Macaca fascicularis: one gene and its partners. The protein of the gene in region 2 interacts with the protein of the main gene of each other region in a pairwise test. Links are inferred from orthologs where the notes say so. Each region holds a gene or a part of one and is shown on either strand. Other genes may lie near its edges.

Evidence for each region.
Region 1: the proteins of ZCCHC10 (region 2) and PRR13 interact in binary tests that used the Homo sapiens proteins (3 or more experiments, as listed by UniProt). The two-hybrid records come from large-scale screens. The link is inferred for Macaca fascicularis from reciprocal best matches to the Homo sapiens genes ZCCHC10 and PRR13.
Region 3: the proteins of ZCCHC10 (region 2) and SFMBT1 interact in binary tests that used the Homo sapiens proteins (3 or more experiments, as listed by UniProt). The two-hybrid records come from large-scale screens. The link is inferred for Macaca fascicularis from reciprocal best matches to the Homo sapiens genes ZCCHC10 and SFMBT1.

What each region holds. Positions count from the first base shown.
Region 1 is NC_088385.1:60,243,434-60,253,163, reverse strand, and holds PRR13 (proline-rich protein 13), read right to left. Parts: upstream 5,530-9,730; 5' UTR 5,488-5,529; intron 5,378-5,487; 5' UTR 5,289-5,377; intron 4,596-5,288; 5' UTR 4,576-4,595; coding exon 4,557-4,575; intron 3,872-4,556; coding exon 3,498-3,871; intron 996-3,497; coding exon 948-995; 3' UTR 371-947; downstream 1-370. UniProt on the Homo sapiens protein: Negatively regulates TSP1 expression at the level of transcription. This down-regulation was shown to reduce taxane-induced apoptosis.
Region 2 is NC_088380.1:139,539,944-139,549,636, reverse strand, and holds the start of ZCCHC10 (zinc finger CCHC domain-containing protein 10), read left to right. Parts: upstream 1-3,552; 5' UTR 3,553-3,564; coding exon 3,565-3,605; exon of another isoform or gene 3,606-3,609; intron 3,610-7,333; coding exon 7,334-7,429; intron 7,430-9,693.
Region 3 is NC_088376.1:116,169,675-116,179,441, reverse strand, and holds the start of SFMBT1 (scm-like with four MBT domains protein 1), read left to right. Parts: upstream 1-4,238; 5' UTR 4,239-4,529; intron 4,530-4,927; exon of another isoform or gene 4,928-5,185; intron 5,186-5,700; exon of another isoform or gene 5,701-6,058; intron 6,059-9,767. UniProt on the Homo sapiens protein: Histone-binding protein, which is part of various corepressor complexes. Mediates the recruitment of corepressor complexes to target genes, followed by chromatin compaction and repression of transcription.

The DNA.
Region 1 (9,730 bases), on a different chromosome or scaffold from region 2:
ATAAATACATAAATAAAAATAAAAAGTTTTAGGAAAAAAATTAAAAAAAAATAAGTATTATTCAATAAATTTGGGGTAAAGCCCCATATTACTCTCTCATAGCTGATGGGCAGCCAGAGTTAAAAAAACATAAGCTAAAGGCCTATATCCATTGACCCAAGGGAAGACAAAAAAGATTCATGCCACTCTGCCTGACCCAATTTTGAAGAGTTCTCCCACTTAAAAAACATAGGAATCACATGGTGTCTTCCTCAGTGAAGCTCTGGTTCCCTTCTATAAAATTGATACACTTTAAAGGGTCTGTGGAACATTAGCAAAAGTTGTAGAATGTGCCATACCCAGCCAAGGTGATAGCACAGGTGAACAGAGACCAGGAGAAATATCTTTATTTGAATAGGACCTGAGACAGCATATTGGGCTAAGGAGGAAAGGTAAGGTTCCAAAATGGCGGTCAAAGCTGATCGACCAAAGGGACTCTACTTCCCAGCAACTTTGCAGTTAGTGCAACCAACAAAAGGCCTGCTGGGGAATGTATTTGCCACTAAATTCCCCAAGTATGGCAACATTACAAAAAAGATAGAGGTTTTTCATCATAATTAAATTTCCGCAAACCTCCCCAATCACAAGTATTATAAGCGGAAGTAAAAAAATCACATTTTACAGATCTCAAACTTGTCTTCAACATTTAGTTCATCATTTTCAAAAAATAGCTCCCCTGCCTAATTCATTAGCTATATGATCTATCCAAGCAGCAACAAGATGGCCAGGCCATGGCAATCCTCTTCCCATTTCCCCTAGCCACTCAGGGCTCAACAGCAGGGTGAGGCTCAGGTGGAGGTAGGGGGTGGGGAGCACAAGGGCTACTTTCCCCCAGTACAACATGGCATCTGAAGCTTGATGGGAGAGCAGAACTGGTGAGACTTGAGGGAAGGGTCCAGGGCCTGTATTCAGTCAGAATCACTGCTGGAAGAGGAGGAGGAAGAGGAGGAGGAATGCTGCAAGGGGAAAGGGGAAAGAGGAAAGAAGCATCAGATCCAAATGACCTTTCATCACTCCGTGGGCCATTCTTTGGTGCCCTACCCCTCTACCCAAGTATCCCTTGCTTCCCTAAGAAGGTCAGGAGTCTTGAACTGACTGTACCTAAACAAAAGCAAGGGTTTCCTTCAGCAGTGAGCACACAGGAATGGATTAAACCATCCTAAATTATCACACAGAATTTTAAAAATTTAACATATTGCCTTTGGAGCAAATTTCCAACTTTCTTTACCTGAATCGATGCCTAGGCAAGGAATAAATTACAGGCCCAAGCATAGTATGGTGCCAGGAAACAGCAGTTACCTTATAAATGCTTATTTATTAGCTGCATGCAAAGTCCTATGATTTTAAGAAATTGGATTCTAAGAAGACAGTAGAAACAGCAGTTGTGTGTGCACGTATCTCTACTTTTTCCAAAGCACAATAGGAAAAAGTGGGGAAGATGTAAGAAAAGGCTGGGAGTTCTATTAAATGTTCCTTAAGCACATACTCCCAGCAATGCTACAGTTATTAAATAAAAACATTTTTCAGTCTCTCCAGGGTAATTTCTCCCCCTTCTTCCCCACTAAATCTCAATTCTCTTCAGACTTCTTTTTTTTTTTTCAGATGGAGTCTCACCCTGTCGCCCAGGCTGGAGTGCAATGGCATGATCTCAGCTCACTGCAACCTCCACCTCCTGGGTTTAAGAGATTCTCTGCTGGGTGCGGTGGCTCATGCCTATAATCCCAGCACTTTGGGAGGCCGAGGTGGGAGGATCACAAGGTCAGGAGATGGAGACCACGGGTGAAACCCCGTCTCTACTAAAAATACAAAAAATAGCCTGGCGCGGTGGCTCAAGCCTGTAATCCCAGCACTTTGGGAGGCCGAGACGGGTGGATCACGAGGTCAGGAGATCGAGACCATCCTGGCTAACACGGTGAAACCCCATCTCTACTAAAAAATACAAAAAACTAGCCGGGTGAGTTGGCGGGCGCCTGTAGTCCCAGCTACTCGGGAGGCTGAGGCAGGAGAATGGCGTAAATCCGGGAGGCGGAGCTTGCAGTGAGCTGAGATCCGGCCACTGCACTCCAGCCTGGGCGACAGAGCGAGACTCCGTCTCAAAAAAAAAAAAAAAAAAACAAAAAAAAAAAAAATTAGGCGCTGTGGCGGGTGCCTGTAGTCCCAGCTAGTTGGTGGGGGGTGCTGAGGCAGGAGAATGGCGTGAACTCTGGAGGCGGAGCTTGCAGTGAGCCGAGATTGCACCACTGCACTCCAGCGTGGGGGACAGAGCGAGACTCCGTCTCAAAAAAAAAAAAAAAAGAGATTCTCCCGCCTCAGTCTCCGGAGTACCTGGGATTACAGGCACACAGCACCATGCCCAGATAATTTTTTGTATCTTTAGTAGACATGTTTCGCCATTTGGCTAGGCTGGTTTCGAACTCCTGACCTCGTGATCTGCCTGCCCTGGATTCCCAAAGTGCTGGGATTACAGGTGTGGACCACAGTGCCTGGCCTTCTCTTCAGACTTCTATCAAATACCCAGAATCAGGAATTAGAATCCACAAGGCAAATAAATTTACTGGGCAGTTAAATGTAAATGGAGGCCTCATCAAGATGCAGATTGGTTTAATCCTTCCAGAGTTGTCCTCAGAGTTGCTTTTATCCTTGCACTTTTTTTTTTGAGATGGAGTCTTGTCTGTCATCGAGGCTGGAGTGCAGTGGTGAGATCTGGGCTCACTGCAACCTCCGCCTCCCGGGTTCAAGCAATTCGCCTGCCTCAGCCTCCTGAGTAGCTGGGATTACAGGCATGCGCCACCACACCCAGCTAATAATTCCCAAGTGCTGGGATTACAGGCATGATCCTTACTAATTTTTAACAGTCCTCTAAAACAAAGATACTCAGCCTTGGGGCTGAGTATAAAACCTCCTTAGTCCTAGGCTGTTAGAGGCTGAGTCACTGACTGCTCTTGTCCTCACTTTTTCTGCTGGATGATAGGGCAAAGGGCCCATGTAATTAACACAAGGCCCTAAGAACACTGAAAGAGAGAAAGAACTCCAGGAACTAGGGCCATATTATTATTCTGTTAATTATTATAAGACTTTGCTTTGTCAAAGGAATGACTTTAATTGATGTTTTGATAATGTCAGTGAGGGGGTCCAACTTGCTAGAATATGCACCTGCGGGGAGGGGAGCAAAAGTTCTGGGAGAGAGTAGGGCAGAAAAGATTTGGCTTTTGATTCTAAAAATCTATTTTAAGGCTCACCCTAGCTCCCCCCAGATAGGAGAAGCCTGATGTTTCTTTTCAAGATAATCAGATTCTTCCCAGTAGCAATCTTTTACAAAAAGGAAGAATCATCGACCAGAGTGACACAATCGTCATCCCCCACGTCCACAGAATGTGAATCCCCCTCACCCAACCCCTGCCTACCTAGTCCCTCTGAGGGGGCACCCCTTCCCTAGCCAGGCTCCAGAGGGTACTGACCTTGCCACGCTTGTGGTGCTTGTGGTGCTTGTTCATCTTTTTATGAGCTTTCTTCATTTTCTTCTGCATCTTCTTGTCCACTATCACTGCTGGTCCGACCATGCCAGGAGCCAAGGGATTCACAGGAGGGATTCCAGGGGCAGGAGGTGGGTATGGAGGAGGGTAGGGACCCAAGGGTTGGCATCCTGGATACCCTGGCTGTGGCACAGGATGAGGGGGCCCACCTGGGGGGAAAGCTGGATTGCCCTGGGGAGCTCCTGGGGGAGGAGGACAGGGGCCTGAGGGAAAGAGTGGGTTAATAGGTGGTGGGTGGGCAGGATTGGAACCTCCAGGGCACCCGATGTTGGGGGTATATGGATTTGGCCCTGGCTGCCCTGGGGGAAGAAGCAGATTATAAACATTAGTATTCCCCAGAGTCTCCGACAACAAACAACAAAAAGAAAGAGATTCTTTCTCACCCAATACTTAAAGGGAAATGGAAAAGTGACAAAGGAGAATAGAAGGTAGGGGAGACAAACCTGAGTTGAGGATAAAAGGGGAATGTCCCCGTAAGGGCTGGAGAGAGGAGGGAGACAGTGAACTCTGAGGAAGACAAAAGTACTGGTCAGGCCGGTGGGGCGTGGTGGCTCAAGCCTGTAATCCCAGCAGTTTGGGAGGCCGAGGTGGACAGATCACATGAGGCCAGGAGTTCAAGACCAGCCTGGCCAACATGGTGAAACCCCGTCTCTACTAAAAATACAAAAAGTAGTCGGGCGTGATGGCGCACGCCTGTAATCTCAGCTACTCCAGAGGCTGAAACAGGAGAATCGCTTGAACCCAGGAGGCGGAGGTTGCAGTGAGCCGAGATCGCGCCACTGCACTCCAGCCTGGGCGACAGAGACTCCGTCTCAAAAAATAAATAAATAAAATAAAATAAAAAAGCACTGGTCAGCTGTAGACTAAGGACTTTGCTTTTGCGGGTGTGGCGGGTCGGGGATGGGGCAGCTGATAGAGAAACTTCCTGTTACAGAGTCCATCAGAAAAAGGGTTAGGGGTCGTACAGAACCCCCAAACACCTACCGGCATTGGGATTCCACATGTTTAGGTGTGTCCTCCAGCCTGAGGAGAAAGAAATGAGGCAAAAAAGATGACAGTCTAGAGGTAGGAAGTGGACTTAGCACCGGAGCCCAGCCCTAACGTCTTCCACCCCACAGTAGGCTCTCCCACCTGGAGAACTACCACGACTTCCACATAAGACACATCTCTTTTCTGGCTGGGCGCGGTGGCTCACGCTTGTAATCCCAGCACTTTGGGAGGCCAAGGCGGGTGCATCACGAGGTCAGGAATTCGACACCAGCCTGGCCAACATCGTTAAACCCCGTCTCTACTAAAAATCTAAAAATTAGCCGGGCGCGGTGGCGGGCGCCTGTAATCCCAGTTACTCGGGAGGCTGAGGCAGGAGAATCGCTTGAACCTGGGAGGCGGAGGTTACAGTGAGCTGAGATCGCGCCACTGCACTCTAGCCTGGGCAACAGAGCGAGACACCGCCTCGAAAAAAAAAAAAAGAAAGAAATGTCTCTTTCCACTTGTTTCTTCGCCCTCAATACCTACTTGGTTCCTAACACAGGAATCTAGTTCCCAGGGCCCCTCCACCTAGGTTGAAGCGTCTAACTCTTCGCAAGAGGGCATAGCCCGCGAGTCTCGGCACCCCCATCATTCATCCCCCTTTCCTGGAACTGAGTCCGGAGGCCTTTAACCACCCACAGAGTAAGAAAGGATCTCAAACAACTTTCTCCCTGGGGAGGACCTCACCTCAGGCTAAGAAAAGGATACGCCTGGAGGCGAAGAAGGAAGTTGCTCAAGAACCTCAAATACTTAAATAAATGGACACAGCCCAATTCCTCCAAAAAAGAAAAAAGGCAAATGAAGATCCTAGCCCCAAGCTGCGAAGGGGCTCTTAACCCAGCAATGGGAAAAGGAATAAACCCATGGAATTCAGATACCACGTCACCTTTCCACCGCCGCCTGGACTTGATGCGTTCTTCGCAGTCTCGGCTCTTACTTCCTAGTCACACCTAGTCACCCAGACCCCGTGCTTCGGTACCCGCCTCTGCTACTGCCTAATTGGTAATTATGTGGCCACTCGGCTGATGATTGGACAACAAACTAATCAATCACTCTGGTCCAACTGAGGAGGAAACGGTTGCTCTAGCTGCAGACCGGAGCCCTTTACGACTAGGCAAGTACTGAGAAGCCGGAAATCTCCTGGGGGCGGAGCTAGGCGGAGAGCGCTAGAGGGGGCGGGGCCAGCTGCTGGGCAAAGTCCTAGAGACACCGAGAAGAAACTCTGCCCTTGCTCTCTGCTAGTCATGGTTCACTGGGTGCAATACCTTGTAAAGTGAATACACTATGGTAAGTGTTGTAATACAGATATAGACAGAGTTCTCGGCAAGGGCAGAGGAGCTGCTGAGTCCTAGCCCCAAGCCTCAATGTTCTCGGCTCCCTCTTACACTCGCAAGGGAAGCAAACAAACATTCTTGCGGAAAATACAGAGATTTCATAATCTCTCCCAGGATTCCCTCTCTCAATTGCATAGCTCCGCCATCTGTCAAGAAGCCTAAACCAGAAACCAAGGAGGTCTTCCGTGATCCCTCTGTCTCCTTCACCTCCCTTACCCCAAATTACCAGTTTTGTCTCACAAATACATCTGGAATCTCTCCACTTCTCTCCGTCTTCCCTGGTCTAAACCTCCCATCATCTCTCGCCTGGATTCATTTCTCCCCTGAATTGCTACAATGGCCTCTTTTTTTTTTTTTTTTTTTTTTTTTTTTTTTTTTTTTTTTTGAGACGGAGTCTCGCTCTGTTGCCAGGCTGGAGTGCAGTGGTGCGACCTCAGCTCACTGCAACTTCCGCTTCCCGCGTTCAAGCGATTCTTCTGCCTCAGCCTCCCGAGTAGCTGGGACTACAGGCGCGGCTAATTTTTGTATTTCTTAGTAGAGATGGGGTTTCACCATGTTGGCCAGGATGGTCTCCATCTCTTGACTTCGTGATCTGCCTGCCTCGGCCTCCCAAAGTGCTGGGATTACAGGCGTGAGCCACCGCGCCCAGACTTTTTTTTTTTTTTTTTAAAGAAAACAATACAAGTGGCCAGGTACATTGGCTCATGCCTGTAATCCAAGCACTTTGGGAAGCCGAGGCGGGCGGATCACGAGGTCAGGAGTTCGAGACCAGCCTGGCCAATATGGTAAAACCCCGTTTCTACTAAAAATACAAAAATTAGCCGGGCGTGGTGACATGTGCCTGTGATCCCAGCTACTTGGGAGGCTGAGGCAGGAGAATCGCTGAACCCGGGAGGCGGAGGTTGCAGTGAGCCGAAATCGAAATCGTGCCACTGCACTCCAACCTGGGTAATAGAGTGAGACTCCGTCTCAAAAATAATAATAATAAACAACGACAACAAAAAAATCACACACAATACAATTAACAAACTTGACCTGATGAACATGCATTGAACCATGCTCTCAAAACTTAATGACTGCTAATTCTCCTTAAGCATGCTTAGAGCATTTATAAAAATTGGTCACATTCTAAGTTAAGCATGTCTCAACTGATGCAATTCAATTTTGAAAGAACTGTTCAATACATATTCCCTGACCACGATGTAAAATATAAGCAAACATACAGCTAGATTTTTTTTTTAGAAAAAAAATTGTTTAACTGTCATCCAGGCTGGGCACAGTGGTTTATGCATGTAATCCCAGCACTTTGGGAGGCCGTGGCTGGAGGATCACTTGAGGTCAGGAGTTCAGGACCAGAATGGGCAACTTAGTAAGACATCATCTCTACAAAAATAAAAAATTAAGGCCGGGCGCGGTGGCTCAAGCCTGTAATCCCAGCACTTTGGGAGGCCGAGATGGGCGGATCACAAGGTCAGGAGATCGAGACCATCCTGGCTAACATGGTGAAACCCCGTCTCTACTAAAAATACAAAAAAACTAGCCGGGCGAGGTGGCGGGCGCCTGTAGTCCCAGCTACTCGGGAGGCTGAGGCAGGAGAATGGCGTAAACCCGGGAGGCGGAGCTTGCAGTGAGCTGAGATCCGGCCACTGCACTCCAGCCTGGGCGACAGAGCAAGACTCCGTCTCAAAAAAAATAAAAATAAAAATAAAAATAAATAAATAATAAATAAAAAATAAAAATTAGCCGAGAGTGGTGGTGCACGCCTGTAGTCCCAGCTACTCAGGAGGGTAAGGTGGGAGGATCACTTGAGCCTGGGAGGCAGAGGTTGCAGTGAGCCCAAATCACACCACTGCACTCCAGCCTGGGTGACAGAGCAAGATTCAATCTCTAAATAAATAAATAAATTGCCTTAAAATAACCACGGAAAGAATAAGCCATGATGGAAATTAAATACTTAGAAATAAGTAGGTGGGCACGGTGACTCATGCCTATAATCCCAGCACTTTGGGAGGCCGAGGTGGGTGGATCATGAGGTCAGGATTTTGAGACCATCCTGGCCAACATGGTGAAAACCTGTCTCTACTAAAAATACAAAAATTAGCTGGGTGTGATGGCACACGCTGTAATCCCAACTGCTCAGGAGGCTGATACAGTAGAATCACTTGAACCCGGGAGGCAGAGATGGCAGTGAGCTGAGATGGTGCCACTGCACTCCAGACTGGCAACAGAGCAAGACTCCGTCTCAAAAAAAAAAAAAAAAAAAAAAAGGAAGGAAGGAAGGAAGAAAGAAGCAGGCCGGGTGTGGTGGCTCACGCCAGTAATCCCAACACTTTAGGAGGCTGAGGCAGACAGATTCCTTGAGTCCAGGAGTTCAAGACCAGCGTGGGCCACAGGGGAAACCCTGTCTCTAATACAAATACAAAAATTAGCCGGGCATAAAAATACAAAAATTAGCCGGGTGTGGTGGCTCACACCCAGTTGTCCCGGCTACTCAGGGCTGGGGTGGGAGAATCACTTGAGCCTGAGAGGTGGAGGTTGTGATGAGCCAAGATCATGCCACTGCACTCCAGCATGGGCAAAAGAGCACAAAAAGAAATAAGCCATAATGAAAATATTAGATCCAAAATTTGTGGGATATAGGCAGAACATGGTAGCTCATGCCTGTAATCCCAGCATTTTGGGAGGCCGAGGCAGGTGGATCACATGAGGCCAGGAGTTCGAGACCAGCCTGGCCAGCATAGCAAAACCCCGTCTCTACTAAATATACAAAAAAATTAGGCCAGGCGGGGTGGCTCACGCCTGTAATCCTAGCACTATGGGAGGCTGAGGCAAGTGGATCACAAGGTCAGGAATTCAAGACCAGCCTGGCCAACATGGTGAAATCCCATCTCTACTAAAAATACAAAAAATTGGCTGGGCACGGTGGCTCACGCCTGTAATCCCAGCACTTTGGGAGGGCAAGGCGGGCGGATCACGAGGTCAGGAGATCGAGACGATCCTGGCTAACACGGTGAAACCCCATCTCTACTAAAAATACAAAAAAAATTCGACGGGCGTGGTGATGGGCACCTGTAGTCCCAGCTACTCAGGAGGCTGAGGCAGGAGAATGGCGTGAACCTGGGAGGCAGAGCTTGCGGTGAGCCGAGATCGCGCCACTGCACTCTAGCTTGGGCGACAGAGCAAGATTCCATCTCAGAAAAATAAATAAATAAATATATATATATATATATATATATATATATATATATATATATAGTGTGTGTGTGTGTATGTGTGTGTGTTTAGTAGAAATGGGGTTTCACCATGTTGGCTAGGGCAGTTTCAAACTCCTGACCTCAAGTGATTCACCCACCTTGGCCTCCCAAAGTGCTAGGATTACAGGCATGAGCCACCAGGCCTGGCCTGTTATTTCTTGACTTTTTAATAATCAGCATTCTGACTGGCATGAGATAGTATCTCATTATGGTTTTGATTTACATTTCTCTGATGTTCAGTGATGATGTGCTTTTTTTCATGTTTGTGGGCTGCATGTCTTCTTTTGAGAAGTGTCTGTTCATGTCCTTTGCCCACTTTTTAATGGGATTGTTTTTTTTTTCTTCTAAATTTGTTTGAGTTTATTGTAGATTCTGGATATTAGACACTTTGTCAGATCATAAAAATTTTCTCCTGTTCTGTAGGTTGGCGGTTTGTTCCGATGTTAGTTTCTTTTGCTGTGCAGAAGCTCTTTAGTTTAATTAGATCACATTACAAATTTTTGCTTTTGTTGTGATTGCTTTTGGTGATCTCATCATTAAA
Region 2 (9,693 bases):
GGGATGAACCACCATGACTAGCCCTAAAGTGTTCTTAAGCTATATTTGCTTTTTGTGGAGACAGGCTATCTTGCCATTCTTATTTATAAAACAAATTATAATTACTGTTTTATTTTGCATTACACACCATGTAAACTTAATCTTGATTTAGTATTTTTCTTTTTGAGATAGGGTCTTAGTCTGTCAACCAGGCTGGAGTGCAGTGGTGTGACCTCGGCTCAAGCCGAGGCAACATTAGGTACACTGATACTGCAGGGGGTTGAACCTGATGATCTGCTTGCTGGCAATTGTCTAAAAAGGAAGCACATAAGTTCCCAGTCCTGAGATCTGAACTTTTCTCATTCAAGATCTTTGCAAGGCCTGGGTGTTCAATTACTTATATACTATGAGCTAGCCAATAAACTTCCAATAAATTCATTGTTTATTTAGCCAGAGTTTTGTTTTGTTTTTCTTACAATCGAATCTGAATTGACATAAGGAAATTGGTTCTATGTTATCTCAAACAAAACTGGCTGAAGGGGAGGAACAGATGTGTAATGGAAAAAGCTCAAGGCTATGGGCCTTGGACACATCTCTTAACATGCCTGAGTCTCAGTCCCTTTTTTTGTAAAATGAGGATAAACCCTACCTCTGGTGATAAAGTCAAGAGTCATTTGGGGTCAAGAAACAGAAACCTAACTTGAACTATCTTAATAAAAAAAGGAATACAGGCTGGGTGCGATGGCTCATACCTGTAATCCCAACATTTTGGGAGGCCAAGACGAGCAGATCATTTCAGGCCAGGAGTTTGAGATCAGCCTGACCAACATGGTGAAACACCATCTCTACTAAAAATACAAAAAATTTAGCCAGGCATGGTGATACATGCCTGTAATCCCAGCTACTTGGGAAGCTGGGGCACGAAAATTGTTTGAACCCGGGAGGCAGAGGTTGCAGTGAGCCGAGATCATGCTGCTGCACTCCAGCCTGAGTGACAGAGTGAGACTTCATCTCAAAAAAAAAAAAAAGAAAAAAAAAAAAAAAAGGAATATACTGAGGAAGCTGAGATAACCCCAAATAATCAAAGGAAAAGCAAATCAAGTCTAGGTAGGTCTTTTTCTGTCTCTCATCTCTCTTTCTCTTGGTATGTCAATTTCCTTCTCTTCTACTGCAGACTAGTTTAAATTACCAGAGGAGCCAGCAAATCCTGGACTCACAATCACACAGCCTTATGATCTATGTTACAGCAAAGTGCTGCATCGAAACCCAAGGACTTTAAGGAACCCAAGAAGCTTCATCTGAAGATAAGGAAACATGACACAACTTTTGAGCATTTTGTTTTTAGGTCATCTTGGAAAGTGGAAATAAACTGAGGAAAGCAGCTCTCACCTCATTCTGGGGAGTTTCAGGCACTACTCATGCCCTCAAGAGCCAATCCTGTTTTCATTTGGAGAATCAGAGCTTCTTACCCACAGAGGCCCAGAATGGCCATTCTCAAATCCCCTTGCATAGCCACTCTTCTTTACAAAATGAGTGGTCACCCTGCTCCCCTAGTTATCCAAGTTAGTTTTCTTTTTCTTCTTCTTTTTTTTTTTTTTGAGGCGGAGTCTCGCTCTGTCGCCCAGGCTGCAGTGCAGTGGCGTGATCTCTGCTCACTGCAAGCTCTGCCTCCCGGGTTCATTCCATTCTCCTGCCTCAGCCTCCCGAGTAGCTGGGACTACAGGCGCCCGCCACCACGCCCGGCTAATTTTTTGTATTTTTTTAGTAGAGACGGGGTTTCACTGTGTTAGCCAGGATGGTCTCGATCTCCTGACCTCGTGATCCGCCCGTCTCGGCCTCCCAAAGTGCTGGGATTACAGGGTTGAGCCACCGCGCCCGGCCTCTTTTTTTTTTTTTTTTTTTTTTTTTTTGAGACGGAGTTTCACTCTTGTTGCCCAGGCTGGAGTGCAATGGTGCGATCTCGGCTCACTGCAACCTCCGCCTCCCGAGTTCAAGTGATTCTCTTGCCTCAGCCTCCCGAGTAGCTGGGATTACAGGAATGCAACACCATGCCCGGCTAATTTCTTTGTATTTTTAATAGAGACGGGGTTTCTCCATGTTGGTCAAGCTGGTCTGGAACTCCCAACCTCAGGTGATCCACCCGTCTCGGCCTCCAAAAGTGCTGGGATTACAGGCATGAGCCGCTGCGCCTGGCCGGGAAACATTTTCATAAATACACTGATGAATGAAAAAAGCAAGCTAGAAAACACAACACGTAAGAGCCCAAGATTTTTGAAGAACAAGTTGTGCTCAAAGGTCACATCATCACTCTCCCTAACTCCTAATCACTCTTTAATCCCTTACTCTGAGATATTTTTCGTTAAGAGTACTTATCCCATGGGAATAGTTTTCATTCATGGTGTGTAGAAAGTTCCATGTGTACACGGATTTTATTTGTTCAAATGCTCTGTCCTCAGCTCCTAAAACATTTTAAGTGTTAATTATTAATTGAAAACATATGGCTGGGCGCGATGGCTCAAGCCTGTAACCCCAACACTTTAGGAGGCTGAGGCGGGCGGATTATGAGGTCAGGAGATCGAGAAAATCCTGGCCAACATGGTGAAACCTCGTCCCTAGTAAAAACACAAAAATTAGCTGGGCATAGTGGTGTGTGCCTGTGATCCCAGTTACTCGGGAGGCTGAGGCAAGAGAATCTCTTGAACCAGGGACCTGGAGGTTGCACTGAGCCAAGGTGGCGCCACTGCACTCCAGCCTGGCGACACAGCGAGACTCTGTCTCAAATGGAAAAAAAAAAAAAGGAAAAAATATGGATGACCCGGAAACACACACACACATACACTTCAGAAAGTTATATATATTTCAGAGAACGTGTTTTAAGAGAATAATAGCTCCGTGAGCTGACATTAGATGTAGGTGCAGCTAAAATATTGTAAAATATTTGTATAGTCCTTTTCTGCTTGACAAAGCAGCTTTACACAGTCCCATTTAGTACTTGTAACAACCCTGTGAAATACATACAAAACAGAAATAACGTGTATGTTTGCACTCTATGGCTTGCTAAAGTCATTCTTTCAATTGCTGGTCAACTAATTCCTTTCTATTCTCCAGACTACTTCTAAGTTTCTGAACACCACAGTTTCATTCTTTGTCTTTGTATGTGTATCCCTCGTTCGAGAATGTGGTCCTCATTTTCCACAGATAATGTTCTTGCCTGTAATCATCCTTTGAAACCCGGTTCCGCCAGAGAACCCGAGACCCACACTGGAGACACCGGCCCCTCCCGATCCACCAGCCCCTCCCCTCCCCTCCTCTTCCGACCCTCCATCCCCTCCCTTCCCCTCCCCTCCATCCCCTCCCTTCCCCTCCTTCCCCTCCCTCCCCTCCCTCCCCTCCCCTCCCTCCCCTCCCTCCCCTCCCTCCCCTCCCTCCCCTCCCGAGCCGGCACTGAGATCCTGCCGCGGAGGCTGCCCCAGAACCCCTAGAGGCCTGTCTGGCCTCGCCTACGTCTACGGCCTGCCGGTTGGAAGCCCCGCCCTTCCGAGGAGTTTCCCAAAACCCTGCGCGGCCGGCTTTGACCGCGCTAAGATGGCGACTCCCATGCATCGGCTCATAGCTCGGAGGCAAGCGTAAGTAAGGATCCGGTTCGGGCCCACCGGCGGGCTGGGAGCGGTGAAACGCGCGTCAACGGGCTAGTGTCGGACCCCTGTTGGGACCGGCGGAGAATGTCTGTTTCTCAAACACGCTTCTGGCTCCCGAGGGGCTCGGGCCCGAGCGATAAGTCTGGTGACCGTGGGTTAGCGATTTCACGGAAGACAGCCGTGTAAAGTCTGCGGCACGGGACAGAGCGGGGTTTGAAGACAACTGTCGCGTTTGGTTTCTCTGAAGGGAACGCCCACAGTTGGTCACTCAGTGATTTATGCCCCTCCGCCAACCCCACGCGTCGACAAGGGAGCCCTGAAGCCCCGGTCCGACACCTTTATGCCGGCCGACGTAAACCTTCAGTTTCCTATTTAGCGTCCATCCCTGCTGCCTTTTCCTACTTCCTTATTCTAGCGCCTTCCCTAGGAATCCTGCCTACAATGCCGACTGCCCTCCCAAGCTATCTTATCACTTTTTGGTACTCATTCTTTCAATAAATATTAATTTATCTAGTACCTACCGTTCTGTGCCAGACATTGGGTATAAAGAAAAAGAGGTGTTTTTTAGGACAAAAATCCTTGCTTTCAGAGAGCTTACATTCTAGTGATGGAAACAGTCGATAAACTACTAAATGTAAATACAGCTGGTGATAACAGCTTTGAAGGAAACAAACTGTTGTGATGGAAAGAGAGAAAGGCCCACTTTAGGTTGGTTGGACTGAAAAGGCATCTCTGAAGAGGTGGAATTTGAACAGAGATTTAAAGGGTGAAAAATTAACAGTCATAAGAGGATTTGGAGAAAGAGCATCCGGATAGTGGCATAATTGCTTTGAGGCTGAAACTTACTTTTTAAAGAACTGAAAGATGGCCATTACGCCTAATGAATAAGAGAGAGTGGCAGAAGAGATTCACACCTGACAAATAATGCAAGGGTCACCCCAGATGCCCTTTCTTATAAAGCTTTTGCACAGCCTTTGCACATCCAAACATCTGCCTCTTTTTCATAAAATATTTCATGCCATCTCCATTTTCATGTCCATATATAGCTCAAAGTCTGCTAGTATATATATGTGTATTTATATCTTTTTATATATTTTTAATTCAAATAATCCCTTTTTTTCTCTTTTCCTTTCCATCTACACTTTCAGGCCTGATAAGAAGAGTTCCTCAAATGTACAGACAGACTTAGGGAGTTAGAGTAGTAAGCTTGGTGAAGAAAGAAGGCTTGAAGTCAGACGGTTCTTTTTTTGAGACCGAGTCTCACTCTGTTGCCCAGGCTGGAATGCAGTGGTGTGATCTTGGCTCACTGCAACCTCTGCCTCCCTGGTTCAAATGATTATCCTGCCTCAGCCTCCCGAGTAGCTGGAACTACAGGTGCCCACCACTATGCCCTGCTAATTTTTGTATTTTTAGTAGAGACGGGGTTTCACTATGTTGGTCAGGCTGGTCTCGAACTCCTTATCTCAAGTGATCCCACCTTAGCCGCCCAAAGTGCCGGGATTACAGGCATGAGCCACTGTGCCTACCATTAAGTCAGACAATTCTGAGATCAAAAATGGGATGATAATACTTAAAGGGAGTGCTAAATGATGTCACCAGGTTCCGTTTCTCCCTGTCTGTCTCTCACACTTGCTCTTTGGTTGTTGGCTCCATATTTGAATAGGCTCTATTCTTTGCTCCCAAGATGGCTGCAGTATCCAGGGTCCTTTATATTCTCTCAGCTTCAAGTTGATTGTACTTCTTTGGTCTAGATTGGATTACATGCCCAATGTTAAACTATGCCTGTGGGATTGTGAATATCTGATTGATTTAGAGATCTTATTCTCCTTTCAGTACAACTGAATGGATGACCATAAGCCAATGATAACCAGGGTAGATAGGTCAGAGGAGGTAAATGAATGCAGGATTGGCAAAACTAATGTCCACTTTAAATATGAAGTGAAAATAAGACTTAGCATCTGAATAATACTGCTATTTATTGTTTCAGAAGTATCAAAAGTTAAATGTTTTATATCTACAATGTGTCTGTATTTGGTACATGAGTTACATGATTTGTAAAAGACAAATCTTACCTTTAAGGAGCTTTTGGTCCTGTTGGGAAGCAAACATGTGGCATACTGTAAAAACCGTTGTGGTATACTGCCCCACGTTGGGCGCCACGTATCCCGGCCCACGGGATAGTCAGAGCAGTCCCTGGAGGAGGGGGTGGGAATTTGGGGAACAAGAGACAGGAGAAATGGAGACAAGACAGTGCTCTGATCAAGTCTCGTTTAATGGTGGTAATGCAATGCCTTATATACATTTGGAGGGGAAGGGGTTGGGCTAAGGCGGAAATGACCTCATTGCGGAAGGTGTGGCCAGATAGGCTTCGGTTTCTCCGGTCGGACGTCATGTTGCGCCTGCGCAGTCAGGTAGTCTTTTCGCGGGTGTGGGAAAAATGAATGAAGAAGAAGCAGGAAGAGCGCCATCTTTTAATGGCGGTATTAATACAGGGAAGAAGGTAAATCTAGGGAGAAGGTGTGGGGTGGAAATGAATATAGCTCAGGCGTTTAATCTTTAATTATTATTCGCTATGGCCGGGGCGTGCAGCTCCGGACAGACTTACACAGAGTGTAAGTCTCCAAGGGATTCAGCAAAGGAGGGCCTTTAGAGGCTTGCGAAGTCCAAGAGAGTTTGGGGAATGTATTTGGGGGGAAAGCAGGAGAGGAGCCTTTACTTTTCATTTTATATTCATCAAAAAGGTTTAATTTTATTTACAAGGAGCATATATTACTTCTATAACAACAAATTTAAAATAGTTTTTAAGTTAGTAATGAGAAGTGAGAAAGTACTATCATCATTTTTTTTTTTTTTTTTTTTGAGATGGAGTTTCGCTGTTGTTGCCCAGGCTGGAGTGCAGTGGCACAATCTTGGCTCACCACAACCTCCACCTCCCAGGTTCAAGTGATTCTCCTGCCTCAGCCTCCTTTAGCTGGGATTACAGGCATGTGCCACCCGCCTGACTAATTTTGTATTTTTGGTAGAGACGGGGTTTCTCCATGTTGGTCAGGCTGGTCTCGAACTCCTAACCTCAGGTAATCTGCCTGCTTCAGCCTCCCAAAGTGCTGGGATTACAGGCGTGAGCCACCGCGCCTGGCCTTATCGTTCTTAAAAAAAAAAAAAAAAAAAAAAAAGATCTTTGGACTAATAGAAGAAAACGGGGAAAAAAGCCTAAATACAAACTCCTCATTGAGTAGCTCTTTCAGAGACTTAACTAGTCAGTCTACTAAATCAATTGGAATGAAATTATTTTTACCTTGTAAACTGTACTTACATATACCCATATTAAGTAAACTATGGAATCTAGGCAACATTTGGGGTCATTTCTTCTATTAAACCTTATATGAGATTCCACTACTTCCTCTTCAACATCCAGAGTCATTATCAAACTTGGCTTGAAGATTTCCAGTAATGTGTACTACCTCCTGACGTGGCCTGTTGTGTTTTTCAAATCTATCTAAAAGTTTATGTTGAGCTGAAAAGAAATAATATTTATAAAGTTAAACCTCACTTTTTTCTTACTCCCTTGTTTTTGACCCTTGCTATGATTTCAGTCGGCTAAAAAACCTTGTTTTCTACTTGAATTGTCATCAAGTCAGACCTCCCCTGCCTTGTACTGATTTTCTGGACTTAAGTGTCAGACTTACCTTTGTCCTTGTTAAATTTCATCTTGTTAGATTCGACACAGAGTTGCAGCCTGTCAAGACGTTTTGGATCCTGATTCAGCCATCCATCGTTATTAGGTATCCCTGTCAGCTTTGTGTCAACTGCAGGTTTGATAAATATGTACATTTGTGTCCTCATACAAGGCATTTATGAAAATGTTGAACAAGGCCGGGTGTGGTGGCTCACACCTGTAATCCCAGCACTTTGGGAGGCCAAGGCGGGTGGATCACAAGGTCAAGAGATCGAGACCATCCTGGCCAACATGGTGAAACCCCGTCTCTACAAAAATTAGCTGGGTGTGGTGGCACGCGCCTATAGTCCCAGCTACTCAGGAGGCTAGGCAGGAGAATTGCTTGAACCCAGGAGACAGAGGTTGCAGTGGGCCAGGATTGCACTATTGCACTCCAGCCTGGTGACAGAGCGAGAGTCCGTCTCAAAAAAAAAAAAAAAAAGGTTGGACAGTACCAAACCATGCAGGCCGTAACTGGATCTTTCTCTATTTTGTCATGCACCACATAACAGATCCCATATATTAATTCTGTGGTTGTCCCATAATATTATAATGGAGGTAAAAAAAAAAAAATTTTTATTGCCTAGTGACATCTTGATGATCCTGACCCTGTGTAGACCTAGGCTAATGTGTGTGTGTCTTAGTTTTTAACAAAAAAGTTTAAAAAGAAAAATAAATTTTAACAGAAAACAGCTTATAGAATGAAGATACAAAGAAAGAAAAGTATTTTTGTACAGCTATGTGTTTGTGTGTTGTTATTACAAAAGAGTCAAAAAGTTTTAAACATTTATAAGTTATAAAGTAGGCTGGGTGTGGTGGCTCACGTCTGTAATCCCAGCACTTTGGGTGGCCCATGGCAGGTAGATGACCTGAGGTCCAGAGTTCAAGACCAGCTTGACCAACATGGTGAAACCCCATATCTACTAAAAATACAAAAAATTAGCCAGGTGTCATGGCGGGCACCTGTAATCCCAGCTACTTGGGAGGCTGAGGCAGAAGAATCACTATCACCTGGGAGGCAGAGGTTGCAGTGAGCCGAGATCGCACCATTGCACTCCAGCCTGGGTGACACAGCAAGACTCTGTTTCCAAAAAAAAAAAAGTTATCAAGTAAAATTATAGTAAGCTAAGATGAATTTAATATTGAAGTAAAAAAAATTTGTAAATTTAGAGTGGCCGAATGGACAGTATTTATAAAGTCTGGTAGTGTCATGATTACTGTAGCTTCATAGTAAGTCTTGAAACCACGTGTTAGCCCTCTGATTTTTCTCTTTTTCAGAGTTATTTTGACTATTTTATATTGTATTTCCAGATAAATTTTAGAATTAGCTTACCAAAAGCTGCCGCAATTTCAGCTGGGATTGCGTTGAGTGTACAGATCAACCTATGGAGAATTGACATCTTAACAGTATTGAGTTCTCTGATCCGTGCATGTGTATATCTCGCCATTTGTTTAGGTCATCTTTAATTTCTCTTAGCAGTGTTTTGTAGTTTTCAGGGTAGAGGTCTTGCATGTCTTTTGTCAGATTTGTCCTGAAGTATTGTAATAGTGTTTTTAAAAAATTTTAGTTTCAAAAGGCTAGGCGCAGTGGCTCACACCTGTAATCCCAGCACTTTGGGAGGCCGAGGTGGGCGGATCACAAGGTTAAAAGATCAAGACCATCCTGGCTAACACGGTGAAACCCCATCTCTACTAAAAATACAAAAAATTAGGCCAGGTGCTGTGGCTCACGCCTGTAATCCCAGCACTTTGGGAGGCCGAGGTGGGCGGATCACAAGGTTAAAAGATCAAGACCATCCTGGCTAACACGGTGAAACCCCATCTCTACTAAAAATACAAAAAATTAGGCCAGGTGCTGTGGCTCACGCCTGTAATCCCAGCACTTTGGGAGGCCGAGGTGGGTGGATCACAAGGTCAGGAGATCAAGAACATCCTGGCTAACATGGTGAAACCCCGTCTACTAAAAATACAAAAAATTAGCTGGTCATGGTGGTGGGTGCCTGTAGTTCCAGCTACTCAGGAGGCTGAGGTGGGAGAATGGCGTGAACCTGGGAGGCGAAGCTTGCAGTGAGCCAATATTGCACCACTGCACTCCAGCCTGGGTGACAGCGCGAGACTCTGTCTCAAAAAAATAAATAAATACAAATTAAAAAAAATTTTTAGTTTCACTTGTTGCTGGTGGTCTTCTGTATAATGTTCTTATGTCCTCTGACCTTACTAATTTTTTAGTTCTAGTAGCTCTTTTTTTTTTTTTTAAAGAGACAGGCTTTTGCTCTGTCACCCAGGCTGGAGTATAGTTGTATGATCATATCTCTCACTACAGCCTCGAACTCCTGGCTCAAATGATTCTCCCACCACAGC
Region 3 (9,767 bases), on a different chromosome or scaffold from region 2:
AGGTGCTACCACGCCTGGCTACTTTTTGTATCTTTAGTAGAGATGGGGTTTTGCTATATTGGCCAGGCTGGTCTCGAACTCCTGACCTCATGATCCGCCCACCTTGGCCTCCCAAAGTTCTGGGATTACAGGCATGAGCAACCGCACCTGGCCCTGGTGCTTTATAGGCCAAAGTGAGACTTTTGGACTTGTGCAAAGCGCAATAGGGAACCTTGAGAGGCTTTTCAGCTGGGGTGAGTCATGACCAGAAGTCAGTTTTTGATAAGTTACCCCTCGTTCCATGCTCTTCTGGGGCTGCATCTTCTGTCAACAATCCCCAACTCGAATTTCCCAGTAATGTGGTTTCCCAGTAGAAGCTGGCATGCCTGGTTTGTGGCTAAGCTTTGCTTCTCTTTAAGGATGACCTGGAAGCTCTCAGTTTGCTCTTTGTCCATAGGGAATGTTATGGCCTGTCCTGAAGGATGTTGCAAGAGTTAAAGGAGATTCTGTCCAAGTGCACATGTGCATACTCACACCCACATCTACACAGTGCCCGATACAAGTCAGATGGGCAGACAGTTTTAAACTGTTCCTTGAGTTCTCTGTTCTTCTTCATTAGGGATCATGAAGGTGAGCACTGGAGAAAGGCAAGAGAGTTTTACAATATTTGAATAAATTGAAAGATAGGACCGGACGTGGTGGCCAGCACTTTGGGAGGCCGAGGTGGGTGGATCACTTGAGCCTAGGAGTTTGAGACCAGCCTGGACAACATGGCAAAAACCCGTCTCTACTAAAAATACAAAAATTAGCTGGGCATGGTGGTGCACACCTGTAGTCCCAGCTACTCAGGGGGCTGAGACAGGAGGATTGCTTGAGCCTGGGAGTTAAAGGCTGCAGTGAGCCATGATAGCACCATTGCACTGCAGCATGGGTGACAGAGTGAGACCTTCTCTCAAAAAAAATTTCAGGCCGGGCGCGGTGGCTCAAGCCTGTAATCCCAGCACTTTGGGAGGCCGAGATGGGCGGATCACGAGGTCAGGAGATCAAGACCATCCTGGCTAACACGGTGAAACCCCGTCTCTACTAAAAAATACAAAAATCTAGCCGGGCGAGGTGGCGGGTGCCTGTAGTCCCAGCTACTCGGGAGGCTGAGGCAGGAGAATGGCGTAAACCCGGGAGGCGGAGCTTGCAGTGAGCTGAGATCCGGCCACTGCACTCCAGCCTGGGCGACAGAGCAAGACTCCGCCTCAAAAAAAAAAAAAAAAAAAAAAAATTTTCAAAAAGGCTGGGCGTGGTGGCTCACACCTGTAATCCCAGCACTTTGGGAGGCCGAGGCGGGTGGATCATGAGGTCAGGAGTTCAAGACCAGCCTGACCAACATGGTGAGACCCCCGTCTCTACTAAAAATACAAAAATTAGCTAGGTGTGGTAGTGCACGCCTGTAATCCCAGCTACTGAGGAGGCTGAGGCAGGAGAATCGCTTGCACCCAGGAAGCAGAGGTTGCAGTGAGCCGAGATTGCACCACTGCACTCCAGCCTGGGTGACAGAGCGAGACTCTTGTCTCAAAAAAATCATTAACAATAGCTAACATTTAGAAAACATTTACTATGTCCTAGGTGTTGAGGTTGTGAGGCAGCTGTTAATCTTTTTTTTTTTTTTTTTTTTTTTTTTTTTTGAGATAGAGTCTTGCTCTCTCGCCCAGGCTGGAGTGCAGTGGCGCGATCTCGGCTCACTGCAAGCTCCGCCTCCCGGGTTCATGCTATTTTCCTGCCTCAGCCTCCTGAGTAGCTGGGACTGCAGCCGCCCACCACTACGCCTGGCTAAGTTTTCTGTATTTTTAGTAGAGACAGGGTTTCACCGTGTTAGCCAGGGTGGTCTTGATCTCCTGACCTCTCCACCCGACTCGGCCTCCCAAAGTGCTGGGATTACAGGTGTGAGCCACTGTGCCAGGCCGGAGGAAGCTGTTACTCTTATCCTAATTTTACAGACCAAGACCCGAAGGCCCAGAGGGGATAGGTAAGTTGCCAAGGTCACAGGGCTGGTTGTTGAACCTGGGTGGTCCCTCCTCAAAGCCAGTCCTCTTAATGGTAGGATGCATAGAGACACATAAACCAGTGTGGATATCAACTGATACTCTGAAAAAAGAAGACCTCATAAGGGCATGAGAGGGAATCAAGCCTTTTTATATGTCAGAACCTATTCCAAAGAACCAATATTTAGATTCACATGGTATTTGCTCAAACTTAGGGCTACAGAAGGAAATGGAGAATTCAGAAATATATTAATCAAAATCAAAAGTCTAGCGTAAAAGTAGGTTTTACTAAACAAAGGAATTTTTTATTTTTTATTATTTTTTTTGAGACAGAGTTTCGCTTTGTAGCCCAGGCTAGAGGGCAGTGGCGCGATCTCCGCTCAGTGTGAGCTCCATCTCCAAGGTTCACACCATTCTCCTGCCTCAGCCTCCCCAGTAACTGGGACTACAGGTGCCTGCCACCACGCCTGGCTAATTTTTTTGTGTGTTTTTAGTAGAGACGGAGTTTCACTGTGTTAGCCAGGATGGTCTCGATCTCCTGACCTCGTGATCCTCCCACCTCGGCCTCCCAAAGTGCTGGGATTACAGTCGTGAGCCACCGTGCCCAGTCTTTTTTTAAAATTATTTTTATTTTTATTTTTTGAGATGGAGTCTTGCTCTGTCACTCAGGTTGGAGTGCAGTAGCACAATCACAGCTCATTGCAGCCTAAAACTCCTGGCCTAAAGTGATCCTCTTGCCTCAACCTCCCAAAATGCTAGGACTACAGGTGTAAGTCCCCACGTCTGGTGAATAATTATTTAAGAAATGGTAACTGCAGAATTAATAACAACCGATGACAATGGTAGTGAGTTATGTCCATATTTTACTCCAAATAAATAAACCAAAATAAAATCAGGATAATCATCAGAGAATGAAATATGAAATGAAATTGTACAAAACTAGCAGAAAAAAGACTATCAGATGGGCAGCAGAAAGCTCACTTTGTCAGAATTGAAGCAATTAAAAAAACCACAAAGGATTCACTAGAATGACACATTGAACATTAGAATAAAACAAGAAAGAACAGGCTAGAAAATATTTGCATCAACGTCGACAAAGGAGTAATATCTATAATACAAAAAAAGCTTGTTTAAAGTTAGAAGAGGTTCAAGTCCCCAGAAGATAGATATGAACAGAACATTCACAGAAGAGGGAATGCAGATAATAAATGCATGGAAAAAAAATTCATGTTTGGTCACCTAAGAAATGCCAAGTAACCTTGAACTAGCAATAGACTATTAAAGTAGGGGGGAAATGGCACTCAATGTTTAAAAGTGTGTTAAACTCCTTACACTTGTTTTTTGGAGGCGGTAGAATAATTGGGGCAGCTCTTGGTGAAAACATGACGCTGTAAGCCAAGACTACTTGGCCATTCACAGCCTTCTACCTGGGAGCCTTTCCACTCCCAGGTATTTGTCCCAAGTGCAAAATTCAAGGATACGTCAAACAACTGTGAAGAACCAAAAACATTAGGGGGCTGAGTGAATAGTTCAGGACACCTGCACACCTTAAAAATGAATCATGTGAACAAAATAAAAATGGTAGTGAAAGTAGTAACAAAAACAGTGTTGTTGCAACTATATACAGTGTATATATATGTTTCATGTCGTGAAAAGTTTCATTGTAATAATATGGATTACTGTATTCTTTTTAGATTGTTCTCTTTCTGGTTGTCATATTGTTTTTTCAGCGGTGCTAAAAAAAATCTGGATTCAAATCCAGCCAGCGGCGTGACTTTGAGTAAGTTCCTGAAGTGGGATATTTCCCAGAGTGGTTGAGGGAGGTGGCTTGAGCTTGCGCCTGGCACACGGAGGGAACCCTAGACTTTCTTCTTGCGGTGGGGGCGCCTCTGGGCCCTGTCCGAGAACTCCTTTCAGGGCCTGGGAGTCTGATCGGGAGCTCCCGGGTCTCGGTGGCGCGGGAACTCCCTCCTGGAGGGAACTTTCCGGAGCAGGTGGGCGGGTGTATGTCCCACGGGCACCTGCGCTCAGGAGAAGGGGGCGAGTTCAGGCAACGTAACCGCTCACGGTCACCTCGGGTTGCGGGGCCAGCTCGAAGCCGCCTTCGAGGTTCTGATTCTTCCCGGGGCTCGGGGCTCTGGGCTCTTTCGTCCCAATTCTTAGCTGTCCTGTGCCCCCTCGCTGCAGGAAGACTCAAGATTTACAGCGCGCCTCCTGCGAAAGCCTAGAGACACCGGGGGCGCCGAAGGGCCCGCGCCGGACTTCGCAGACAGGGGGCACTTGGGTGTCCCTTCAGGTCTCAGAGGGCGCGCCCGATCCCCGACGCCGGGCAGGCAAACGGGCGCAGCCCCCACGGCGGCGGCACGCGCGCATCTGGGATCCGGCCGCTTCTCTGCTCATGCCATCTTGTCCGAACCGGTCACGTGCGGGCGACAGCGGCGCTCTTCGCCGGGCCAGTACGCCAGGTCCGACCCGTGAACCCCTCTGGGATCCCCACCGCTCCGTCCACAACCCGAGGTGAGGCGCGGGGGCCCTTCCCTCCTGGGTCGGGGTCGGGCCAAGGCGGGCACTGGGTTCCCGGGGAAAGGTCTCCTCTTCCGGGCCATTCAGCTCGGGGCCACGGCGCCGTCGGGGGCCCGAGGCGCCGCCGCGTGTCCTGCGCCACGGCCTCGGAGCAGTCCGCGCCGAGTTGCTGGCTGGGGGCGTGGGTGGCCCGCGGCGCCGGACCCCCGGCACACCAGCCTGCGGAGTCCTTGCCTCCCGCGTGGCCCCAGTCGGGAGGGATGGCGCTGGGGCGGGAGCGGGGCAGCCGGGCCCGGGGGCTCCACGGGCGCGGCGCGAGGGGCGCAGGCTGCCTGGAGGACCGCGGAGCTGGGGGTGGGGGGGCGCGGGCGCATGCGCCCTGCGTCCGTGCCATATTGGAATGAGTCGGAGCGCGGAGCGCCGCCGCCGCCTCCGCCGGAGCGCGGGTGGAGGGGGGCGGGGAGAGCTGCCGGCCGCCCCGCTCCGCCGAACCCAGCAGGAAGGAGGGCGCGAGCGGGCGAGCGCGGGCAGCGCGGGAGGAAAAAGCGCCCGCGCGGAGGAGCGAAAAGAAGGAAAGAAAGAAAGAAAACGAGCGCGAGAGGGGGAAAAGCGAGCGATCGAGCGAGCGCGCGCGCGAAAACTCCCGGCAGGTAAAAAAGCGGGGCCGCCGGCTGGGCCTTCCCGCGCGGCGGCCTGGAGGGGCGGCGGCGGCGCCGGGGCAGGGGACCGCACGGCGTCCCCTTCGAAGCGGCCGCGCAACTTTGCCAACGGGAAACCGCCGGGCGCCGGCGGGCGCGCGGGCTGAGGCGCCAACGGGCGGCGGCGGCGGCGGCACGTTGGGGGCGGGGGCGGGGCGGGGGGAGCGCGGCGCCCGCGCGCGGCCCCGCGGTCCCGCGCGCCGGCCGGCCGGCAGCAGGGGCGCGCCTGGGCGCCTCGCCGCGGCGGAGAGCGGCGGCAGCCGTCAGACCCTGGCAGGCAGCGCGGCGCGCGTCAGCCCGCAGGAGGCGTGAAAGGAAAGTGGCCGGGCGGCGGCAGTGGCGGGCGCCCAAGTTCCCCGGCGCGCCGGGCCCGCCGCGCGCCCCTCCCCGCGCGCGCCCCGCGCTCCGCCCGCCGAGCCCCCGCGGACCCGCCCCCCGGGCTCGCTCCGGGCGGGGCGCGAACCCGCAGTTGGGGCCGGGCGCGCGGCCGGTCGGAACTTCGGAGGGCCCGGGCGGTCGCCGCGCGGTGGCGGAGCGTCTAGCGGCCGCCGCAACCGGTGGCTCCGGGCTGCCGTTGTGAAGTGAGCGGGCCTCTCCCGTGCCGCGGCCCGCCGGGCACCGCCGCCGGACCCTGCGCCGACCCGGCAGCGCCCCGACCTGCCGCTCGGGAGGTCCGCGACCGTTTCGATTTCTGTTCCTAAAGTCCGATTTTGGACGCTGTAAAGGAGGCTGTGGAGGGGCGAGTGGCGTCCTGGGAAGCAAGGCCTGCTCTGTGCTTAGCAGAAACGCCTTGTGCGAACAGAAATAAATTCCCGCGGAAAGGATGTACGTTATGTTAAGTTTTTCACAAGATGTCAGCTGTTCCCGTGGGGTCTAAAACTAAGCCGGCAGGCACAGGTCACCCCCAGAGCTTATGCTCGAGGAGTGGTGGACGCTCGGGTCAGGTGGGGGTGTTCCCAGCGGGTGGCCCGAAGCAGCACTGGTTGATGGTCCCAATTGGTGTTTTTGAGTCCTGTTAGCACTGATCTGTGTTTGAGAACCAAGTAACCATCAAAGAGATTTGAAAGGAAGTGAGATGTATTTTGTTAATCCCCGCGTGTGTCTTCTCTTGAACCACATTTTCTAAGATGTCATACTTAATTTTATTGCATCTGGATAAAGTGCCTGAACATATAATCATTAATTTGTCAACTGGCTTGAAAGGATGAAGGAAGATGAATGTGCCTTTATGTGTACACTTTGAGGCCTGTTGACTAGCGTTTTGAGGCATTCGTTGAATTAGGCCATAGGTAGATTCGGAGTTAAGATTTGTTTGCGATGTCAGGAAAGTAACGGCCTGGTAGAAACGGCCAGAGATCAGGAAACAGTTCTGTTATTACCGTTGTAATTGACTAACTGCCTTATCTTGGGCACTTTTCTTACCCGTTGTAGCTTTGATTTTCCTTATTTGCAACATTAAGATAAACAGATCATTTTTGAGGGTGCTTTCAGTTCGAAAATTCGGTGGCTTTTTAAACTGAAAGATTCTTAGAAATCACAGTGTATATTTTGATAGGTTCTACATAAAAGTGCTCGCAATGTGTGTCTTTATTAAAATTCATTTGGAAAAAATATCTTGGTAGCTAGATCTAGAATGGTTTTATATGATTGTTTGAATAGATTTTTAACAATGTATTTCAATGTGCTTAAAAATTATATGTATTTTTTATTGAGGTATATATAACCTACAGAAAGATCTTAAGGGTACAATTCAATGACTTTTTATGCATGTATACACCCTGATAACCACACTCAGATCAAGATATGGAACATTTTCAGGCCCTGTATCTTTTCCATTCAGTAAACACATTCCCCCTCCCCACGGCAACCACGATTCTGACTTCTGTCACCACAGATGAGATTTGCCTCAAAACAAGACCCTTTTGAGGGTTAAAGGGGCAATGCTAACAAACTGAGGATAGCTTGTATGTAAACTTGGAGTTATGGCCGTGTAAGCCATGACCCTTTGCTTTTATAATGATTGTTAGGGTTTTCGTAACCCAGAATAACTTAAAATTCTCTCCTAAGGGACTTCTTAGAAGATCACTTTTCAGTGGGGGCAATACTTTGCAGGTTACGATTTGTAGTTCTTGGGAGTCCTTAGGTTCACAGACAATGGTATTAATCTATTACTTCCCATTTTTGGAATATAGGTACTATATATTTGTAGACAATAGATTGGAATAATGAATCATGAATTTTCCCAACAAGTTAGAGTTTAAGGTGTCAGTAGATGAATCAGGGTCTTAATGCCTAGAATTTGCTGAGAAAATTGAATGAAAATTGGTTTTTTAAAGTTAAGTGAATTAAGAATGTGTAAGCTTTAACAAGGTTTTCAATGACAGCAGTTAACTTGACTTATATATACAGGATAGTCAGCTGGTTTATCAAATCATTTAAAGTCCAACAATGAAAGCAAAAACAAAAGGTTAACTAAAAATTGTGTCAGGTGTGATTTAAAGAAACCAGCGTGACTAAGATGCCTGTGTAAATTAACCCTCTGTCTAGGAAGGTGGACTTTTTTTTTTTTTTTGAGACGGAGTCTTGCTCTGTCGCCCAGGCTGGAGTGCAGTGGCCGGATCTCGGCTCACTGCAAGCTCCGCCTCCCGGGTTCACGCCATTCTCCTGCCTCAGCCTCCCGAGTAGCTGGGACTACAGGCGCCCGCCACCTCGCCCGGCTAGTTTTTTGTATTTTTTAGTAGAGACGGGGTTTCACCGTGTTAGCCAGGATGGTCTTGATCTCCTGACCTCGTGATCCGCCCGTCTCGGCCTCCCAAAGTGCTGGGATTACAGGCTTGAGCCACCGCGCCCGGCCCTTTTTTTTTTTTTTTTGAGACGGAGTCTGGCTCTGTCGCCCAGGCTGGAGTGCAGTGGCGCTATGTCGGCTCACTGCAAGCTCTGCCTCCTGGGTTCCCGCCATTCTCCTGCCTCAGCCTCCCGAGTAGCTGGGACTACAGGCGCCCGCCACCGCGCCCGGCTAGTTTTTTGTATTTTTGGTAGAGACGGGGTTTCACCGTGGTCTCGATCTCCTGACTTTGTGATCCGCCCGCCTCGGCCTCCCAAAGTGCTGGGATTACAGGCGTGAGCCACCGCCCCCGGCCGGAAGGCGGACTTTTAAATATTCTCCACTGAAGCACATGCTGCAACAATTTGCATTTCCTTCACCAGTGTCTTCTTGTGCCTTTTCTTGTTTCTACGGTAAAGGAGATGGGTTAGATGTTGTAAGTGAATTCTTATTTTGTTAGTTCCTAACAACGGCTTGTGTTTTTACTGCAAAGATATCCCTGTGATAAAAGTTGGGAATGTTCTAAGGCCTGTGGTGTAGGGATCCATGGGGAATAGTCCACAAAGTTAAAAGGTTTTCTTTTGTGAAATGATTTCACTGAACAATTCTGTCTTTTTGTGTTAAGTTAGCCAGCCAACTGACTGACCAGCCACTAAGCTGGATTTGGTCACTCCACCCAAGATTCCCTCATTAGCCAAGAGAGTAATTGATGACTTAGCTATTACTGATCCATTGTTTCTTTTTGTGTCTCTTTTTAAATTTCTTGGCTTTTATGTGATCAGATTGTTTAATTTAAAATCTATTAAATTTTTAAGAGAAGCAACTAAAGAGATATACAATGAGAAACAAAATACACAATGAAAGGGAATTTCCTTTTTTTGCTATGTTTTGTTGTAAACTCAGATTTTTCCTTTTAAAAATGATTGCTGGCTAGGCACAGTGTCTCACGCCTATAATCCCAGCACTTTGAGAGGCTAGGCAAGAGGATTGCTTGAGACCAGGAGTTGGAGACCAGCCTGGATGAAAGAAAAGGGAGACCCTGTGTCTACAAAAAATAAAAAAAATTAGTCAGCCATGGTGGCGGGCGCCTATAATCCCAGCTCCTCAGGAGGCTGAGGTGGGAGGATCCCTTGAGCCCAGGAGTTTGAGGTTGCAGTGAGCTATGATTGCACTGCTACACTCCAGCCTGGGTAACAGAGTGAGACTGTCTCAAAAAACAAACAAACCAACACAATATGATTTGCCTATCCATAACCTTACTGTTTCTGTAGTGTACTTTTGCTTTCACAGTGATAACTAGACTGGGTTTAGCTGTGGAATGGTGGTGTAGCAGCAAGTCTGTAGAAAAGATGAACTATGCAAAACTTCATTGACTTTTTAGTTTGACTTCATGTTATGTTCACATTAAGTTAATACAGTCCAAAAACCAGAAGGCTATTATTTAGACAGACATTTTACATCTTTAATATTTTTAATGTTACATTTTTTTCTTGTAATTTTCCAAAATTTTGCTTTCTCGATTATTTGGCTGATAACCAATATTTTGGAATAATTACATGAAAATGAAAGAACTTGTAATGAGTAAATGATACAACTTCCTTATGGCAGAGTATTTTTCTTTTAGTATATAGCATTTATTACCTAACTGGGGTATTTTGTATTTGAAAATAATATTTCTGTATATACATAGTTATTAAATGGGCTAAAAGT